Linked DNA regions of Kluyveromyces lactis. The protein of the gene in region 1 interacts with the protein of each later gene in a pairwise test. Links are inferred from orthologs where the notes say so. Each region holds a gene or a part of one and is shown on either strand. Other genes may lie near its edges. The genes, in order: ERG27 and ERG7.

Region 1 (2,841 bases):
AGGCCAGATCAGAAAACAAATTATAAACTAGTTCCGCCTACTTTATCAGAAAACATCATTACATTTTATAACAATGAATACGAGCCATCGCCACATGTTCATTCCACTCACGGATCGTTCTACTCTAATGACACAGGTACACAAAATGCGAGAATGAGATATGGCACCAATCAAGCCTCATTGAACGATGGCTCTTCTATCATATCTGATGATTATTTCCATCAAAATCATCATGCTAACGGAAACAAGAACGGGAAATCCCATAATAATATGAACAATGGGTATGTAGAAACTGAAGCGACAATTCCCGATATCAAGATCAAACTAATTCATGACGATGTTTTGGATCTTGCCTACCAAGGTCTGGAACCTTCGTTGGTAGATCCGAAATGTGAAACCAAGTTCAGACAATATAGAACGCAATATGCAGAGATACTTTATATATGGGGGTTGCCTATGGATAGGGCCGAGTTGTTGAAGTTTAATGTAAATTTAAACACAGAACCTGAATACTTGCATGGGATCGAACAAGATTCGGGATTGGATATTTACAAAGGTGTATCGAATAGGTGGATTGAATCTAACCACGGACACACTCAACAAAACTGTAGCTACTGTGGCCTCAAAGCCGGTAGATTGGTGTTCGTATGCGGTAATTGTCAGCACGTGACTCACAGGACTTGCGCAGAAAAATGGTGGAAAATTGGCGATGAGTGCCCCTCTGGGTGTAGTTGCGACTGTATAAAGAACTTCGATGTCAGCGAACCACTTATATAAAATGCATCTTATGTAGCAGTGTCTTATCGTTCATCTTCTTTTAACCATCAGTCGTTGATACACCTTCTTTCCTGGGTTTTAATGATATTTAAACGAGATGATAAACCTTCCGGAATTCTGAAAGAACTAGAAAACCAAATAGATGGTGATGATGATGCGACACAAGCGAAAAATTCCAGGCTACAGGAACCGTTCCCGTCCATTAGCACTGATTTACGTATACTAGTAGCTATTGAGTACCAATAATTTCAAAACCAGCATGTCTTCGTCAAAGGTAGCAGTGGTCACTGGTACAAACAGTAATTTAGGTTTGAATATCGTATATCGGTTGATTGAGAGAAGCGAGCCAGAGGACAACCTCACGATAGTTGTGACATCAAGAACATTACCTAGGGTTCGTGAATGCATTGATTTAATTAAGGCTTTTGTCAATACCATTAATAGGACTGGCTCTGTAGATTATGATTACCTGCTGGTTGATTTTACCAACATGATCAGCATTCTTGATGCCCACTACAGCTTGTCAAAAAGATACGATCACATCAATTACTTCTTTGTGAATGCAGCTCAAGGAGTTTACTCAGGGATTGACTGGTTGGGTGCAGTGAAAGAGGTCTTCTCCAGTCCACTGGAGGCCGTCACAAACCCAACATATAAAATTCAACGAGTGGGAGTCAAATCAAAGGACGGGATGGGGCTTGTGTTCCAGGCAAACGTGTTTGGACCATATTATCTAATTCAAAAACTGCTTCCGTTACTCCAGGCTGGACAAGGTACTGTCGTTTGGGTCTCTAGTATCATGTCCGCTCCTAAATATTTGTCTTTACAAGATATTCAGCTATTGGAATCCGATGTTTCTTATGAAGGTTCAAAAAGATTAGTTGATTTGTTACATTCTGCAACATATAAAGAGATGAAAAAGCTCGGAATCCGCCAATATCTCACCCATCCTGGTATTTTTACCAGTCTCTCATTTTTCCAATATTTGAATGTTTTCACCTACTATGGTATGCTCTTCTTATTCTATCTGGCCAGATGGATTGGTTCACCTTGGCACAACATACAAGGATACAAAGCAGCCAATGCTCCTGTATATGTAGCAACAATGGCTAATCCGCACTTTGAGAAGGAGCAAATGAAATACGGATCGGCAACTTTTAGAGACGGTTTAGAATATATTAAAACTGATGAAGTTGATACAACCGGCTGTGAAGATGTGTATAAATACATCTCCAATTTGAAACTGCAATGGGATGAAAAGTTAAAAGACCAGATTAAGCCTACAAGGATACCATTATAAATTTTACATAATTCAAATAAATCGTGTAGAATTATTGTTTATCGTAATGTTGCGTGCGAGTTGCTTATAAGTTACATATTAGATGAAGGATCATTTGAAAGTAGTCACATACTATTTGAAAGTGAGGACTTAAGGATTCGAAAATACATATACAGACTTTAGAGCTGAAGTACAGTAAATCTTGAAATATCGCTGTATTATCTCTTTAATGCCATCAAAGAAGCAACGAATGTCAATATCAATCTCGAACGGACTTCGTTGATGTCTTCTGGAACCAACCAGATTAGAGCTCCTAACTTTCTAGCAATAGAAATAGCCAATCTGGCGTTTGCATATCTGTCCTCTTCAGTTTTACCAGGTAACACTAATGAGTAGTCCACATAACCTGGGGCCAAACCATTTAGGACATCCAATAAGAAGTGAGCGTTGGACAACGAAGGATCGCTGAAAGATCTTATGGTGGATGATTTTCCACCCTTGGAAACTGTTTCTTGAGCCCACTTTAAGATTTGGGAATCAGACATATCTCTACCAGTCGTGGCCAATTCATTCATTGTATTGACAATATTCTTACGCATTAACTGCCACACCAAACCTAGCGTTAGTAGTTTATTACCGTCGACAATATCAGAGCCATCAATACCAACCAAAGAGAATCCTCTAGATTTACCTAAATCAACAGCATAGTTAGTATTTTCCAAAGCCTTGAAGCGTGAAAGTTCAGAGTCAGATGATTTCTTGTTGATTACCTTCCAGTTTACAGA
Region 2 (3,940 bases), on another chromosome or scaffold:
AAATACATTAATATCCACCAGCATTGGCAACTAATCACAAAAGATACCGATACTAGTGACTCTAATATCATGAAGTTCGCGAACCTGTGTTATAAAGACCTTTTAAAGGTTCACTCTAGAGTTCAATTTTTCCGTAAGCTTGAGGGAAACTATGTGAATGATAAGCAATATTCATTGCTTCACATCGATAACATGGGGCTGAACGTTTCTTTCAGGCTTGGTGCAGATATAATAAAGATAAAGGTTGACGATGGTGATGACGAGATTATAGACTGTACTTTCAATGGAGAGAAGAATATTTCTTTATTGGGATCTATTTACGGCATAACTAATAGGTTCCAGTCGATTATAATGTAAGGAACTTGTTCACATGTTTGATTCTAGGCAGGATATAATAAATTACCAATAGACAGGAATACCCAAAGGCACATCCCAACACTTTCTCCGGGAATGTGTGATAGTATATTGATGTTATCGTTAGCACATTTATCCAAATGCACAAAACCAGTAAAACAATCCATTGATATTTAGAAGACGGTGAATTCCAGGATATCGTATGTTGGTTCGCATATTGCAGCAAGAGTTTCAACTCCTGCCATAGAGTTAGACTTATGTTTGTTAAGAAACAAAAATGACCACTGATATCAAATCCGCCTACCCAGCTCCCACCTAAAGATCTACATTTCTCTGCAGATTTCGTATCAGAAAGATCGCAGTTTCCTCCCGTCCACACGAAAAGATGGTCGATGAACAAGAAACAGGCCCATAATACCAGGTATACCAAAACAAACTTTATCGAATATACTTTTAGAACTTTCCCAACTTGTTTCAGAAGATCGGGAGAATTACGGTCCTGTTCTCCATTACTAGTGGGTAACAACGATTCCTCGTGCTTCATTCGAACGTATACTTGTAGGCCTATCAATAAACCGAACAATACGTCGAATATGTAGATACCTTTGTAAGCAAATAAATGATTCACTACGTTGCGTCCACCGATCCAGTACCATTCCTTTCTTTCTCTTTCGAGCTCATCTTCACCTATAAGAACCGATATAAAATACCCGAAAATCACAAGAGCTGGATATATGTGCAACCACCAATCACCAGGGACAGGGAACTTGGCCAACACTATTCTATCAGGCCGCATTGGACTTTGTCTTTGTTAACGCCTTCAATCCTTGAGTTCCACAATCCTATTTCTCTATTCCTTTCGAGTAGTGCAACGCCTCGTTCTTCTTCTCAGGTCTTGTCGTTTAAAGTTCCTAACAGGAAAGTTAAACATCTTTTATAGATTTATATATAACGATTATCAACAGATTAGGAAAGACACGTTTAGCCGTTCGGATTCGAGAACATAGATAGTGTTCTTGGCTAATCACTGGAGGTGCTGTATAGCTGTACGGTTTTGTGTTAATGCCAGAACTTTATTCTGAAACTATTGGATTGCCCAGGACGGATCCAAAACGTTGGAGGCTCATCACAGATGACTTGGGAAGACAAACATGGGAATATTTAAGTGAGAATGATAGCAAGAAAGTTCCGCAATCAACTTTTGCACGATGGCTATTGAAATGTGAAGATTTTCCAGAACCGCACCCAGAGATTAATAGCAAGACATCAGGTTTTACTGCTTGGAACGCTGCACATAACGGTGCAAAATTCTTTGAACTTTTGCAGGACCCTGATTCTGGAACATTCCCATGCCAGTATAAGGGTCCAATGTTCATGACAATTGGGTATGTTGTGACGATGTATATTGCCAAGATTGAAATACCTGAGCATGAGAAAGCTGAAATGATTAGGTACGTTGCCAACTATGCACACCCAGTCGATGGGGGATGGGGTTTGCATCATGTCGATAAGTCAACTGTTTTGGGTACTGTACTAAATTATGTCATGATGAGATTGTTAGGTTTACCCAAGGATCACGAAGTTTGTGTTAGAGCAAGGGACACTTTACTCAGGTTAGGAGGTGCCATTGCGTCTCCTCATTGGGCCAAGATATGGTTGTCAATCTTAAATTTGTATAAATGGGAGGGTGTCAACCCAGCCCCACCAGAATTATGGATGTTGCCATACGGATTAAATATTCATCCAGCAAGATGGTGGGTTCATACAAGAGGTATTTATCTTCCGGTGAGTTATTTGTCAAGTACCCAATATAGCTGTGAACTTGATCCCTTGTTGGAAGAAATTAGAACGGAGATTTACACCCAACCGTTCGAGACAATTGATTTCAAGAAACACAGAAATACCGTGTGCGGTGTTGATCTATACTATCCACACACAAAAGTTTTAGACACTATGAATTACTTCATATCTAAGTACGAAAGATACGTTAGACCAAATTGGTTGTTGAAAAAATCCACTAATAGAGTATATGAACTTGTCAAGAAAGAAATTGCAAATACGGATTATCTATGTATTGCACCAGTTAATAATGCCTTTTGTGCAATTGTGACATTGATTGAAGAAGGGAAGGATTCGGAAGAATTTGGTAGATTCCTTTATAGATTCAAGGACGTGTTATTCCATGGACCTCAGGGCCTAACCGTTATGGGGACCAACGGTGTCCAAGTTTGGGATTGTGCATTTTACATTCAGTATATGTTTATGGCAGGTTTGGCTGAATTGCCCGAATTCCATGAAACCATTGTTAGATCGTTTAAGTTCTTATGTCGCTCTCAATTTACTGAGGATTGTGTTGAAGGGAGTTTCAGAGATAAAAGGTTGGGTGCTTGGCCATTTTCCACAAAAACCCAAGGATACACCGTTTCAGATTGTACAGCGGAGGCAATCAAAGCTATCATAATGGTTCTTAATTCCGACAAATATAGAGATGTCTGGGGTGTATATGATACCGAAAAGTTGAAAAACGGCATAGATGTCCTTTTGGGATTGCAAAACTTGTCATCATTTGAATACGGATCCTTCGCTACATATGAGAAGATCAAAGCGCCCTTACTAATGGAAAAATTGAATCCAGCAGAAGTGTTTGGAAATATCATGGTTGAATTCCCATATGTGGAATGTACAGATTCCTCGGTCCTCGGCTTGACGTACTTCCGTCGCTATTTCAATTATCGGAAAAAGGATATCGATCATGCTATTGATTCAGCTATTGCATATATTAAAAAGAGTCAGCAGCCTAATGGTTCTTGGTACGGCTGTTGGGGTATTTGTTACACGTATGCTGGAATGTTCGCCTTAGAAGCGCTAAACACGATTGGAGAAACGTATGAGAATAGCGAAGTTGTTCGTAAAGGGTGTGACTTCTTTGTTACTAAACAGCTTCCTGATGGTGGTTGGTCTGAGAAAATGAAATCTAGTGAACTTCACACATATGTATCGGACAAAGAATCTTACGTTGTACAGACTGCATGGGTGCTCATTGGGTTGATATTAGCAAAATTCCCTGACAAATCAGTTATCGATAGGGCAATTAACCTTTTAAAGCAAAGACAACAACCGTCAGGTGAATGGAAATATGAAGCTGTGGAAGGTGTTTTCAATCATTCATGTGCCATTGAATATCCAAGTTACAGATTTTTGTTCCCAATAAAAGCTCTCGGTCTATATGTAAAAGAATACGGCCACAGTGCAATTTAAATGTGTGTATAGTTTACCGTGGATTTCACAAACAAAGTAATTAAAATCAAGTAATTAAGTGACAAGACTTATGAAGTTTCGTACATATGCAAGATTATAAATAATTTATTAGATGTTGTTTTGGGATTTAAAATATTCCCAAGCCTTATTTAGAATCGTATAAACATTCTCTGCGATCATTATTGTCTCTAAACTTGCATCGGCGGGAATTTTATCTGGATGAGTCTTTGCAATAGCTTTCAAGTAACAAATTTTAACTTTCTTGGTCATGACTAAATCCTGCGGTGAAACTTCCTTCCAAGATGCCCACCACAGAAGAGGCTCTAAA

The links.
Region 2: the proteins of ERG27 (region 1) and ERG7 interact in binary tests that used the Saccharomyces cerevisiae proteins (3 or more experiments, as listed by UniProt). The link is inferred for Kluyveromyces lactis from reciprocal best matches to the Saccharomyces cerevisiae genes ERG27 and ERG7.

Annotation. Positions count from the first base shown.
Region 1 is NC_006042.1:1,829,453-1,832,293, forward strand, and holds ERG27 (3-keto-steroid reductase), read left to right. Parts: upstream 1-1,036; coding exon 1,037-2,077; downstream 2,078-2,841. Other genes in the region: MTC5 (Mtc5p), read left to right, coding at 1-777; SAC6 (fimbrin), read right to left, coding at 2,275-2,841. UniProt on the Saccharomyces cerevisiae protein: 3-keto-steroid reductase; part of the third module of ergosterol biosynthesis pathway that includes the late steps of the pathway. ERG27 is a catalytic component of the C-4 demethylation complex that catalyze the reduction of the keto group on the C-3.
Region 2 is NC_006038.1:888,122-892,061, forward strand, and holds ERG7 (lanosterol synthase ERG7), read left to right. Parts: upstream 1-1,416; coding exon 1,417-3,612; downstream 3,613-3,940. Other genes in the region: MCM21 (Mcm21p), read left to right, coding at 1-357; YFT2 (Yft2p), read right to left, coding at 347-1,150; auxilin-like protein SWA2, read right to left, coding at 3,721-3,940. UniProt on the Saccharomyces cerevisiae protein: Lanosterol synthase; part of the third module of ergosterol biosynthesis pathway that includes the late steps of the pathway. ERG7 catalyzes the cyclization of (S)-2,3 oxidosqualene to lanosterol, a reaction that forms the sterol core.